Linked DNA regions of Callithrix jacchus. The protein of the gene in region 1 interacts with the protein of each later gene in a biochemical or structural test. Links are inferred from orthologs where the notes say so. Each region holds a gene or a part of one and is shown on either strand. Other genes may lie near its edges.

Evidence for each region.
Region 2: the proteins of FYN (region 1) and FYB1 form a complex in vitro, tested with the Homo sapiens proteins (2 studies listed by BioGRID and IntAct). The link is inferred for Callithrix jacchus from reciprocal best matches to the Homo sapiens genes FYN and FYB1.
Region 3: of the proteins of FYN (region 1) and ENO1, one has a biochemical effect on the other in vitro, tested with the Homo sapiens proteins (2 studies listed by BioGRID). The link is inferred for Callithrix jacchus from reciprocal best matches to the Homo sapiens genes FYN and ENO1.

Annotation. Positions count from the first base shown.
Region 1 is NC_133505.1:117,951,575-117,956,272, reverse strand, and holds part of FYN (tyrosine-protein kinase Fyn), read left to right. Parts: intron 1-1,997; coding exon 1,998-2,162; intron 2,163-2,579; coding exon of another isoform or gene 2,580-2,735; intron 2,736-4,698. UniProt on the Homo sapiens protein: Non-receptor tyrosine-protein kinase that plays a role in many biological processes including regulation of cell growth and survival, cell adhesion, integrin-mediated signaling, cytoskeletal remodeling, cell motility, immune response and axon guidance.
Region 2 is NC_133503.1:166,286,217-166,291,014, reverse strand, and holds the start of FYB1 (FYN-binding protein 1), read right to left. Parts: upstream 2,644-4,798; 5' UTR 2,551-2,643; coding exon 2,548-2,550; intron 1-2,547. UniProt on the Homo sapiens protein: Acts as an adapter protein of the FYN and LCP2 signaling cascades in T-cells. May play a role in linking T-cell signaling to remodeling of the actin cytoskeleton. Modulates the expression of IL2. Involved in platelet activation.
Region 3 is NC_133508.1:46,742,146-46,746,943, forward strand, and holds the start of ENO1 (alpha-enolase), read right to left. Parts: upstream 2,706-4,798; 5' UTR 2,578-2,705; exon of another isoform or gene 2,477-2,577; intron 2,119-2,476; exon of another isoform or gene 2,004-2,118; intron 1-2,003. UniProt on the Homo sapiens protein: Glycolytic enzyme the catalyzes the conversion of 2-phosphoglycerate to phosphoenolpyruvate. In addition to glycolysis, involved in various processes such as growth control, hypoxia tolerance and allergic responses.

The sequences.
Region 1 (4,698 bases):
AGTCTCTGTCCTAACACCCAGATATCACCATTATTTTGTTGTTCCTGAAAACATATAATTATTAGGTGTGCAGGTTACACATTTTATCAAAGAATGTGGTTTCATGTGCAATTGTTAAAATGATTTCCTAGATTAGCAAGTATTATATCCCACTATATCTTATATGTTTACATGTGCCTATAAATATAGGTGCACATGTACAGATACATGTCTATATCCTATTAAGCCTAGAAGTTTTTTGTGTGACCCATGTCTCCATTTTCTATTGTTCTCCAGTACAATAGCAAGGCTCAAAAATAGTATATTTGCCTCTAGTATTGCTCTGTGCACAATCATTGAAATATGTATGTATAATTTTTAGCATGAAAAAGCAATCTTTTGAAAATGACATTGAAATATGTATGTATAATTTTTAGCAATAAAAAGCAATCTTTTGAAAACAACTATTGATCCCTGGCACTAATGAACAATAGAAAATATTAACAGCACTTGCAGTGCTAGTGCATTACGGCGTTGGTTCACTTGGTTTATGTGGAGTCTAATGAAACATTTGGGAGAAATGGAACAAAATATCTCCCTGAGCTTAAGTAATATACTCAAAATGCCTGCATGTAGTAAGGATTTTTCAAATGCTGAAATATATTTCATTACAGCCAAGCATCAGCAGGGTCCCCAGGGTTTGGATCATTTGAAAATATTGTGTTGGAAAGGGCACCTTAATAACATTGTAAAGCTGGAAGGAGAGAGGGGATATGAACAATAGACACTTTTTTAATCTCGGGGAGAAAAAATCCATCACACGTTAGACTTGTTTTTATATTGGTTTTCCCTCTTCCCTCTTTCTCTCTCACACAATAAAATGTCTTTGAAATATTGACACATAAATAATTTCCCACCTAAACATCCCAGAGCCTGATTCCATCAAAAAGAAAGGAGTAAAAAGCAAGTTACAGCCCAGCAGCACATCTGCCTTCCCTGGTCCTGGGGCTTCCCGCAGGGGCGGCGGGGGCTGTCCACCTCACAAGGCGCTGTCAGCTTTTGTCACTCCCTGATTTCTTATTCTTTGTTACCTTTTTTTGCCTGACTGATTATTACTTGGCATTTAAGTTCCCCTTAGCCTTGCCAGATTCTAAAAGATTATATTCTTTTTAAAAAAGAAGGGAAAGAAGGAAAGAAGACAAAGAGAGAAAAAAAAAATCTCCGAGTGATAACTACTTTTTCCCTTCTTCTTTTTATACAAAGAACACGTTCTTTCACATCCTTGAATTTCTGTGAATTTTGGTTTCCATTCTTTCTCCTTTCAAACCAGACACCTAAATTATACATCGAAGACTGTTAAAAGGATTTTTTTTTCCATAGAAAATATCAAAGAAGCAGCCCAGGAGTATCTGACTTGGTGGAATGGAATCAGTTAGAAAGCCAAAGAAATCACTAAAAAAGTGACTTCTTTTTTTCCCACCAGTTATAATCTTCAGCCTTACTAGTTTATAACAGTTTAATGTTCTATAGAAGAATCCTCTACTAAAGTGTTAATTTTAAATATAGTCATACAGAGAGATCCTCAATCCCCCAGGTAATCTAGATATTAAAGGTGGGGGAGAACAGTCATGTTGACATTCTTTAATCCAAATGCACTTTTTGAAATTAGCAAGGATATTTTCAGCATTCCCAAAAACGTGTTATTAGCACATTGAGCTGAAAACGTTTTTCTTACTCAGTGAGTACAGAAACCAAAGCAGTCTGTGTGTATATCTATGTATAGACTATCATACCTGGGCTTATGGAGGAGTCTAAATTTAAAACGTCCTCTATTCTACCTCCAATGAACATGTTTCCATGTGTGGTGTCTGATCTTCCACGATGTGTGTGGTCGTCTTCTGGTGTAGCACTGTTTGAGGAGCGCTGTGCGCCGCTAGTGTGGGTTTGCACTTATGAGTGTTGTCGTTACATGTGTTCTGCTCTTCTCTCCCTCTCCTTCCCCTGCCCTGCTCCATCAGAAAGAGCTGCAGGTCTCTGCTGCCGCCTAGTAGTTCCCTGTCACAAAGGGATGCCAAGGCTTACCGATCTGTCTGTCAAAACCAAAGATGTCTGGGAAATCCCTCGAGAATCCCTGCAGTTGATCAAGAGACTGGGAAATGGGCAGTTTGGGGAAGTATGGATGGGTATGCTAAGACTCAATTACTCTATTATTGACTTCCTCGTTTGGGAAATCCCAAACACCAAAGATAGAAGGTGAAAATAAAGACTGCATGACCTAGAAGAAAGACTGAATTAGTAATAGTAGGGAAGAATGATATCAATTTTGGTTTTAATATTCTGGAATTTCTGGAAAAAAAGATAGTAAATGGGCAAAATTGGCAAATGGCTCAAGTTGTACTGTTACATGAGCCTCAATTCATAAACCAGCAAATGGTACAGGGAATGTTCCAGCTCCCATAAAAGATCTTGCCCTTCATTTCCAAAAGCAAATATTTGTTGAGTGTCGCCCTAACGGGCAAGTCACCTTCCATCTTTCCTAGTGCATGCATAATTATGGATTATAAGGACAGTGTTTTCTTTATTAATTCCCTTTCCTGTAGAGAAAGCTGATGGTTTGTGTTTTAACTTAACTGTGATTGCATCGAGTTGTACCCCACAAACTTCTGGATTGGCTAAAGATGCTTGGGAAGTTGCACGTCGTTCGTTGTTTCTGGAGAAGAAGCTGGGTCAGGGGTGTTTCGCTGAAGTGTGGCTTGGTAAGGCAGAGGGCACATTTTGTTTTGGCTGCGTCTCAAAGCCGATTAAAAGGATGGTTTTGAACAAAAATGCACACACAGCCGTTGGGACAAAGACACTTAACCTGGATAACTAGACAGGCACAGGCCATCCAGATTTTCAGAATATGCTGATGCCTTGCTGTGCTCATCTGTCCTACTTCATGTGGTTAATTAAGGCACCCGCAGAACAGGAAACCAGAACACTGTGAATCTGGTGTTTCCTCTTCCTAAGAAATGGGAAGGTAAGATACTGTATATGGGCAGCCATAAGAAAGACCGTGGGCATTTTGCTCGATGGGCCTGGGTTTGAATCCTTACTAGCTAAGCAACCATGAACAATGGGCATATTTTACTCCTTTAAGCGTCAGTTTTTTTCATCTGTAAAATTAGAATGATACTTTTTGTTTTTTTGAGACAGAGTCTCGCTCTGTCACCAGGCTGGAGTGCAGTGGTGCGATTTTGGCTCACTGCAACTTCTGCCTCCCAGGTTCAAGCAATTCTCTTGCCTCAGCCTCCCAAGTAACTGGGACTATAGGCATGCACCACCACATCCAGCTAATTTTTGTATTTTTAGTAGAGACAGGGTTTCATCATGTTGGCCAGGATAATCTCAATCTCCTGACCTCATGATCCGCTCACCTTGGCCTCCCAAAGTGCTGAGATTACAAGTGTGAGCCGCCACACCTGGCCAGAATGATACTTATTTTATAGGATTATTTTTAGGATTACATGGGTTAATATGTTTAAAGTCCCTTGCAGATAGTAGATATTCAGTAGACATACATACTTCTCTTCATTTGATTGTCATTGATAAGGCTGGCCACACTATGCCTTTGTAATTTCTTTTATAGCCCTTTTGGGTCAGTTTCAGCTTTGCCACATGAGACAATTCATGGACTTAGGCCCCACTCAAAAACATGTTTCAGTAAAACAATATTAATACTTATGGAATCCTCCATCTTCCTTCCTCAGAGCTGATTAAAAGCAATATAGATCAGTGTCCTTTGCTTTGTGTGGGTATAGATCTTTAGGTGAGGTCTGCATTAAAACAGTTCAAAGTGATAAGTACTACAAAGATATATGTAGGTAGGTAGATGGATAAATAGGTAATAGACAGACACATACATATTTATGAGTTAGCTAGTTTAATAAGAAATCCACATTATTGTGTCCATCTCTCTCTGGTCTTTATCTCAAGTATTGTAAAATATATGACCTCCTCCTTCCTCATTCACCCTCTAATAATAGAGGATTTTAGTCGAATTACTCACACAATCACAGAGGATTTGACCCTATAAGAAAATTTATTTTCAAATTTTACAAATAATCCACTTTAAATCATTACATATACTGTTCACATTTTGTTTCCCAAGTAACACAAGACAACATGCCCGTCAGAATTGAGCTGGATATCTATGTAATTTACCAGGTCTGTATTACAGAGGAAGATCTCACTGTATTTGAAATTTTATGCTCTTTTTTTTTTTTTTTTTCTTTTGAGACAGAGTCTCGCTCTGTACCACTGCTCTGGAGTGCAGTGGTACAATAATCTTGGCTCACTGCAACCTCTGCCTCCTGGGTTCTAGCAGTTTTCTACCTCAGCCTCCTGAATAGCTGGGATTACAGGCACTCGCCACCACACCCAGCTAATTTTTGTATTTTTAGTAGAGACGAGGTTTCACCATCTTGGCCAGGCTGGTCTTGAACTCCTGACCTCGTGATCCACTCGCCTCAGCCTCCCAGGTGCTGACTCTTAAAGAGCAAAGATCACTTATAAATTGTCAAATTTCCCATGTATGCTTAGTGGGCAGATATTTTATGAAGTTTAAATGAACTTTTCTTTAAGCCACTTGGTTTTCCATAATTTATATTTTTGTAGGTTACATGTTGTAATTATATGAACCATGTCTTTAACAGGATAATAAGAACTCCTCCAATTTAC
Region 2 (4,798 bases), on another chromosome or scaffold:
GCTGCTTAATAACAGGGTAACTTGTGTTAGAAGTTTTAAATACGTGTAGGTTTTCACCTAGCTTCTTTGCTAGTAGTTCTGTCAGTGCAAAATAATCAGACAAAATATATAAAAAATGCTTGTGACAGTCTTGTCTATAACCATAAGGAAGAAAAAGAGACAACAGAAGTTTCCAACTCTATGGAACTGATTAAAACAAATTCTGGACTACTACACAGTTATTAAAAATAATTTATCATTAAAAGTGACATTGTAACTCAGATATTATTAAAGATATTTTAAATAAAACATGGGGAAATGGTTCATAAAGTATAATAACACTTATAAAATTACATTTATAAAATGTGTATTTAAAATGATGACATTCTGGAAGAATCTGCATTAACCTAGTGATTCTCCTTCAGTTGATAGAATTGTAGAATATGCTTATTGTTTAATTTCTGCATATTTATATTTCTTTTTTTTTAAAAAAACAGTGTTGCCCAGGTTGGAGTGGTGTGACATGATTATTGATCACTGATGCCTTGAACTTCTGAACTCAAAGAATCCTCCTGCCTCAGCTTTCCTAGCAGGTGGGACCACAGGCATGCACCACCAGGCCTGGCTGATTTATTTACTTATTTAATTTTTTATAGGAATGACATCTTGCTTTGTTGCCCAGGCTGGTCTCTAACTCCTTAAGTAATCCTCCCACTTTGACCTCCCAAAGAACTAGGGTTACAGGCATGAGCCACCACACCTGCCCATTACCTCTATTTCTAAGAAATTTTTTTGAGAAATACATCTTTCTTTTTTTTTTTTCTTTCTTTCTTTCTTTTTCCTTCCTTCCTTCCTTCCTTCCTTCCTTCCTTCCTTCCTTCCTTCCTTCCTTCCTTCCTTCCTTCCTTTTATTTAGACATAGTTTCACTCATCATCCAGGCAGGAATACAGTGGCACAATCTCGGCTTACTGCAACCTCTGTCTCTTGGGTTCAAGTGATTCTCCTGCCTCAACGCCCCCAAGTAGCTGAAATTACAAGCACGAGCCGCCAACCCTAGCTAATTTTGTACTTTTAGTAGAGGCGGGGTTTCACCATGTTGGTCAGGCAGATTTCAAACTCCTGACCTCATGTGATCCACCCTCCTTGGCCTCCCACAGTGCTGGGAGTACACGTGTGAGCCACCACAACTGGCTGTGTTACTTTTATAAGAAAACCATAATCTTTAAAAAAATCATCACTCATATATTATACCAAATACATGCTCTCCAGTTAAACTTCCTTTTTTATTGCTATTATCTTGTGTCACCTAAGAAAATCCAAATAGCACTTTCTAAACCACAGTGCCCTTGTTTAAGGTCAAGCTGTTTTCTAAGAATTCTGTACCTAAAGACCCAGTTTGGAAATGTAGAGGGATTTCTAAGTCCCGCTCCCACCTGGGCCTGGGACTGCCTTCTGCAGGTGTTGCCGCAGACAGGGTCACGTCCCTAACATTTCCTCCACCACTGTGCACTTCCATTCTCAAGACTCTGTGACTCGCACCTCCTCACTCTTCCCTCTTCCTCTCTCCCCCATAACAAGATTATGCTCTCTCACCTCTGCTCTTTCCCTATCCTAACTCAAGGTGCTTTCAGACAATACACGGTCACTTCAACACACATCATCGAATGACCCTTTTGTTCTCCCTGTTCCAATGTCTGCAATGAACTCCAGCCTCCAATTGTGTGAGCATGAGTCATCGTCTCAATTCCTGTCTTCTCACTGGGGGCTGACAAAAGGAAGATATCCTCTTCATAATAAGAGAAGGGATAACAAATTTCCAGTCTTCTGGGGATCAGGGAATAGGAGACAAAGATAGAAAATTGATTCTCTTCTAGACCACATATATTTTGGGAACCCACCCACCCCCTTTTTTTTGCAGGGAAATAATGGAAAGTTGTGAAGCATATATTACTGCTGTAGTTCAGTTTTGTTATAGGTTAAAGTAGTACTGGGAACCCACTCACCATTTTAAGTATGCTCCAAAAAATGACTTCCCATTAACTTTGGGTATAGAATCTGTCCCTAAGTTTTAGACTATTTGGGCTTTGTTTGCTTCTCCTAATTGAAATTTTAAAAATGTATTTTCAAACAGAAGAGGTTCTTTTGTAAAATCTATCATGTTATCAAAATGGCAATCACCGTCAGCAGCGTTTCCCAACCTTTGCCACTGGAGTCCTTTCCTGGGAGTCAAAGAGCTCATAACAGGAAGCTTGGCTGTACTACTGGGGCAGGCATCCAGCTATCATAATAGGCAAAGATGAAGAATGCACATTTTCTTTCTGTAAGACAGTGCTCTTCCTCTATTCTGAAGGCTAGAATCAAAAAAGGAACTCCAGAAGCCACGTCTCTCAATTGGCATGAAAAAGACTCAGCAACTTCCTCAGCCCAAGGAACAATGAGTAGCCGAGCAAAATCCCAAAGGCGTGTAAGACCTAGCTGTGAAGCACCCTCAACCCTGTCTGTTCTATGCAGAGAGGAGTAGCACATTTGCCAGGAGACCAGGGAGAGTAATACAATCTATTACTTACCATTTTGATTGAAAAGAGTTGATGCGTCTGACACACAATGACCTCGAAGATGTTGTGGCTTGGATAGTGAATGTGCAAGTTAGCTATGCAGAGTGTACTTCCTTTTCTGAGCTGTGTGGTCTATCTAGCTTTCACACATTGATATGTGAGGCTATATTTGCATGTTATCCCAACCCTTAGAGCATTTGTATAGCTGGCCAGGTTTATCATGTTATTATTTTTCAATAATACAGAAACAGGTATAGGTGTAGCTCTCAAGTCTGAAAAATTGATATGAAATTTTTAGAAGTGCCTAGATATTAAATTTTGTTAGACATTATTGATCTGTTTTTTATAACTTATGTATTTTTGAATAAACATGTGTATATATGTGCATGCATGTCTGTCTCTCCATCTCTCTATCTATGAAGGACTCACACCAAAATTAATAGCGTTTGAATTGAGTGGATATATTATTACAAATAATTCCTTTTTCATACTTTTTGGAGTTTTTCAAGTTTTCTATCTTGGGTATATAGCACTTGTGTAAAAACATAACCATAATCATTATTAAAAAGAACAAAAGTATCACGATAATTTTAATGAAGAACTCCAATTGTATTTAAATTCATATTACCATTTAAATGATGGAAACACTCATAAGCTTTTCATAGAATGTCATTCATTTCCATAAAAAAAAAAGTACAGCTCAATCTAGGTTCATGTGCTAATTTGGGGGTTAACATTTGTTAGCATCAGACATTAAGGGCAAGGGATTTGATCTCAATTAGTCAGACTTTCCAATCATCCATGTACCTCTCTAAACACATTCTGATATATAGCCTCCTACTAAAGTAGTTCAGGGGTGGTAGGTCATCTTTGTTTTCTGTGGCAAAGGAAAGGCAGGATTCCTTTTTTGGTGGTTGCAAATTTCTAGATCTTGTTTTAAGTATTACAGTGCTTATTTAGTGTAAGGTCACCAAATTTCTATACTTGATGGTGATCAAACACTAATTACTCCTACATCCATACAAAATAGCTTTTCAAAAAAGATGTTATCTGTTATTTTTTCTTTAAAATAAAAATATTTTCAAAATTAAGATGTAATCAGAAATGCAGATTCATATGACAGGCAAAAAGCCAGGGCAGAGGTTGAATTCCAGAGGTAGAAACTGATACTGTCCTGAAAACTTTACATATTATAAAGAGGGGTTTGAGGCATGGTCAGAATCTGGGTGGATGGTCAGGATTCTGAAATTGCACAGTATCTTACACATAATAGAAGCTTAATGAATAAATAGAGGAGGAAGATCAAAGCAAGACTGATGTATAGGAGCCAGGCATCTTTTCTGGTATAACACATTTTCTAGAATGCTTCGAAATGAAGGCATTCTTTACCTTCACTAGAAAGCCTCTAATCTACTGTCTGTTGGAATAGAGATCATCACAGTGCAGATACAGCTTAGGGTAAAGAGGACCACTCTAAAGCAATGGTTCGCAACCTGGCTGCACATTAAAATCACCTGGGGTGTTTTCATAGTCTCAGCTCCCAGGCCTCATCCCAGGTTATTATATGAAAATCTCTGGGACTGAAACCCAGGCACTGGTGTATTTCAAAGCTCCCCAGGTGATTCCAATGTACGTGCAAGTTTGAGAGCCTTTGCCTCAAAGAAGGAGCAGGTGACTCATACTAGCAAGATAGTGAACAGATCCCCAGGCCAGCCTTATGGGTAGAAATAATCCTGACACCCTGACACTGTTTAGCACTAAGTTAATCAACATATTTTTCCTATGTGCTACATAAGAATTGCTTAATCTTTGTCATTCTATGATTTGCCCTCTATGCCAGTAAGTTGGACACAAATTACATGATAAACAGGAATCCAGCAATTATTTAGTTAACGGTGTAATTTGTTGGGTAAGTCTCTGGTTAGGAGAATTTTGAATTTCAATTCATTCATCTGAATTCCATTTCAATTTGGGCTTATTTCCAAATGCAGATTAAGGTAATTTTTAGCTGTTATTGAAATAAATATAGTGGTCTTTCAAACACACATATGTAAGAAAAGTATTATTTTCAACCCCACTCTCATGGGGTTGCTTATTGCTTTTGCCATAAGAAAAAAAAAGTTGAGTTGAAGCTCCCAACTACAACTTGTAGTCCACAACTATATTTTCATATTTAGTTTTTAAAGCATAATCATGTTACTTTAAAAACATATGTCAAACATCGCATATGTGAGTATATCTCCTGTGAAGCCAAACCTCAGTA
Region 3 (4,798 bases), on another chromosome or scaffold:
AGGATTATAGGGGTGAGCCACCAGGACCAGCCAATAATGACATCTAATTAGTATTTCTTCCCAAGGGGGCTTTATAATTTGGAAATAGAGGAAAGATTCTTTGAACACTAGGATACTTCAAGGGAAGGGGCTTTCTTTGAAAACAGTTTAAAAAAAAAAAAAAAAAAACCCAAGAATTTGCAGCAATGAAAAACAAGTAGCAATTCCTTAAAGAAAAACCCTTTCTTACTTTTTTCCTTGGTGCGATCCAAAAACCTAACTGAACAGCTTACAGAACCGAGGTGGGTGAGAGGAACTTAGTGTTCAAAGCCATTATCTAACTGGGCTCCCCTCCAACAGCGTCTCTGGAATGTCCTGGGGCAGCAAATGGCAGATTTTTAACTTTCAAAATTAGATACTGAAGTCACTTATGTGGCTTTGTAGTCTATGTAACAATGGAATTTAATTCATTAGCCAAGAAAAATGCATTTAGTTTTTATCTACTAGGTTCCAAAAAGGCACGTTTATTTAAACATATTTTTAGAAATAAGTTAATTTTGCGTTTTGGCAAATTACATACTCGAGTAACATTTCCATCACTGCAAAAGTTCTCTCAGGTCGGTTCTAGTCAATACTCCCCTGCCCCATTTCCAGACCACCACTGTGATTTACTTTGTGTATCTCAGACATACTTTTACAGGCAATTTTATGAGGGCACCTCAGCGTTTTTGGTTTCATTTTAGTGACTTAAGACAAAGGTCTTGCGATGTGAAAATAAAATGTAAGTGATCTTTAAGTTGGATAGACAAACTATTCTGCAAAGTTGTCATAGCTCAGGAGCACAGGCAGGGAGGAGGGTTGGTCTGACTTCAGCATTCACTGCTTTTTTTTTGAGACAGAGTTTCACTCTTCTAGCCCAGGCTGGAGTGCAGTGGTGCCATCTGGGCTCAGTGCCTCCTGGGCTCAATTGATTCTCCTGCCCCAGCCTTCCGAATAGCTGGGACTACAGGCGGCTGCCACCACGCCTGGTTAATTTTTTATTTTCAACAGAGACGGGGTTTTACCACGTTGGCCAGGCAGGTCTAGAACTCCTGACCTCGTGATCCGCCCACCTCGGCCTCCCAAAGCGCTGGGATTACAGGCGTGAGCCACCGTGCCCAGCCCATTCACAGCTTTTTCAGTTGCCTGGATGGAATCCCAAATTAGGGATTCAGTAAATGAACTGAGCAGTCAGGGCCCGGGTGGGCCCGAAAGGCAAGTAAAGTAATGGACCCCACCGCCCAGAGAGAAACGCACATCGCAGGGAAACAGCAAACAGGAAGCTTTCTTAAAATACATCCTTCTTAAGTCCTATCATGGCCCGACTGTTGGTAGCCAGCCGGGGAGCCGCTCTTGCCCAACTTGGGCGAGGTTGCCTGGAGGACTTCCCAATGATCCAACGGCTCTGCGGCAGGTTCCTCATGAAGAGGTGCCTTCTCGGAGGGAAATGAGTCACCAGCCTACGGGACAGAAGCGCGGGCCGCGAGTGCGGCCCGAGGCAGGGGCTGTAGGTGGGGGAGGGGGGCGCAGCCTCGTGGGCATCTCCCCTCTCGCCATCCTCCTCCATCTTAGGAAGGGCCTGGCCTGAGTGGGCACCGCCGCTCAGTCTGCGTTTCTCCCAAAAACCTTACACTTGGCTACAATGGAGAAGCAACTTCCACTCCCAGTTGCACACGCGAGTGCAGCTCCCGACCTTCCCCGACGGTGACCCAGCCCTGCAATCCGTAACCACGTGCTAATCTGCACTTTCCCCTCCAAAGAAATTGGGGGCCCTGCACGTACGCCTAGCATTGCTCCCCCGCCCCGGGCCTCCGGGTGAAGTGGGGCGCCAGTTCCAACCCGGGGAGATGGCTCGCACGCGCCCCCGATTCCGCTACCCTGGGCCTGCGGGCGCGCCACCTCCCTGTCAGGGTAAAGAGCCCTGCTAGCAGCCCAGAAAAGCCCTGCGTCGCCTGCCGGTTGTTCAGCCCTTCGCCAATCATTACCTAACCGCCGGGTCTCGTCGCCTAGGAGAGAAGCAGAGAGTGCTGCAGACACCGAGATGAGCGTTAAGCAGAGGACGTCTGCGTGCTGCGGGTCCTCACAGCTTCTGTTCGTGCCAGCCGCGCCGACTTCCTGCCCAGCTAAAAAAGACCCCACCTACTTCCCGCCTCCCGGGTACGCCCCCTCAGCGCCGTCTCGCCATTGGTCGTGAGAGCCGTCACTCAGGCCCTCACCTCCCGGAAATGGGCGTGCCGCTGCGATGGTGGCAGCGGCAGGGAAAGGGGGGCGACGACCCGGGGACGTGAGGCCGGCGGATCTGGGGGATCCAGACTCCCTAGAGGCCCTGCCGTGGTGCGGGCGAAACTCTGGCCCCAGATGGGGCCCTTGAGCCGAATTGGGGTGTGCGGAGCCGGGGCCCTGGGGGACGGCCAGGGACGGCGCGGCGGGCATGAGGGCTCAGGGCTCTGTCACGTACTCTGAGTCCCGCACGCACTCAGCGTCGCTCCCGGGCCTCAGGTCTGGCCCTCGACCTTGCCTAACGACTTTGGCGGCCCGCGCCGGTCCCGGCCCTCCTACCCTGCGCCGCAATCCGGGAGACCCCGCTGGCGTCGAGACGTTGAGTAGCTGAGCGCCACGGCCCCATTCGTGTTGGGGCGCGGGCCATGCCGCAGCGCTGCGTGTTGGGGGCCACGTGCGCCGTCTGCGCCTGCGCACTGCCCCCCAGCCGCGCCCGTCTGGCCGGGCTCCGCCTGCCACCCGCCAAGGTGACCCAGTCCTTTTCTCCTTGCTGCGGCGAGAATCCGGCCGAGACAGCCAAAAGAAGCTTCACTTCCCTTTAATTCTGCCTCATACTTTTTGAGTGCCTCCTAGGTGCCCGTCGCACCCCCACGTGCTAACCCAGCGTTAATCCATTCTCCAGCCCATGTTCATGTTGCATCTGAAATTTCACATCGCCCTCATTACCATCTAGGGAACTAGATCAAACCTACCTGGATTCTTGTGAACCATTCATGTACATTTTTTGGGACTGGAGTTTCACATAGACCCAGAGAGTTTCTCAAAGTTCAAGACGGGTCATATTCCATGGAATATGGAAAGAGTTGGTGGATGATTGCACCTTTCTGATCAAGAACACATAGCCATTACAACTCAGCTCCACAGTACCTCCCCCTCCATTCTTAAGGGAGGGTTGAAATGGTGACTCCGTTTTCGGTTATGGATTACTTTTGTATTTTTCAGTATCACTGCTGGTCTGTAAGAGAACTAAACATCTGATTTTCCTCATTTCCTTGCAAAGAGATGTTCAAATATATACTTGAATTTATTATTTCTTCTGGTCAGCTGCAAAAACTGTTTTTCTTCCTTAACCCCCAGCATTTTTATCCTGGTAGCTACTGAGAGGTTTCCAAGGGGTTGGTTAAAAATGAAGGCATAATGCGTCCATAGTATTCGTTTTCCAATGGGTAAGAAGCAAGAACTTTAAGATTAAATTCAGAAAAATAATTGTAAAATGTTTTATTAAAGGATTACACGAATTTTGCAAGCAGAGTTTGTGATTTCACCAGCAATTCACTGACGTTTTTGGCTACTTAAAACCAATATCCCCAGCCCCATGACTCAGCAGCTAAATCAACAGCCAACATCTACTGGTAAGACCTCTAAGAAATCAGGCACTTGGTACTTTTACTTTCAGAGCAATTCTAAGGCGGGGCCCTGAAAGGGCTCCAATCTTATTTTACATGAAAATGGTTAGGGAGATAAAGATACTCTGCTCCTGCCAGAACCAGTAAATCTAGCAGAAAATCAGAGGCAGAGCATGATCCCAGGCTGCGACTGTTGTAAGATTCTTGGAGGCTGCAGCTCCACAGTCTGAGCCAGCACTTTGACATCACATTGTAGCTAAAATGTTAATGATTACTAGAGATGTCCTGAAATCTTTTCCATAATTCATAGGCTGCCAAATGCCCTCCCTGTTTCCATAGCTCCTGAGGCTTTCTTAGCAGGCCGTGGGGTTCACATTTACTTGTAGTCAGCATCAGAGCATTTAGTTATTATTTCTCACTTGCTGCAAGTTTGGTGAGCAGTTTTATTGGTGGTGGGCAGGTGGGGAATAACTGTCTAGAGCTAGTGGAATACCATACCTTGAAGCACAGTAGGTAGCACATGCATGGTGTCTGCAGGTGACTAGGAGCAAGGGAAAGTGAATCTGCTACGGCCTATAACTTGCTTAGATTACAGATTCTACCTGTGATATGTGTGTAAAAACCACCGGTCAGCTGGAGAAGGTGGTCTTTATGAAAGAGGGTCTCCGGCCAGATAGGGAACCTCAGGGTAGGATGTGGAGCTCTGGGGAGGTAAGATACCAGATGAGTGCAGAAGGCCTCGGGGGATCTAGGTGGATGGTCCTGCCTCATGACAGATCATACAGTTTTAGTATTTGGTTATCACTCAGTATTTCACGTACACCTGAGACTACATAAAGTGTATATAAATGTCTCTGTACCCACATCCCACTTAAGAAATGGAACATGAGAGTCCAGGCTTGGTGGCTCACACCAGTGATCCCAGTACTTTGGGAAGCTGAGGCAAGAGCGTTCTCCTGCCTCAACCTCCCAAGTAGCTGGGATTACGGGCATCCACCACCATGCTCGGCTAATATTTTTGTATTTTTAGTAGAGACGGGATTCACCATGTTGGTCAGGCTTGAATTCCTGACCTCAGGTGATTAACTCACCTTGGCCTCCCAAAGTGCTGGGATTGCAGGTGTGAGGTACCATGCATGCCCGGCCTGTTTTAT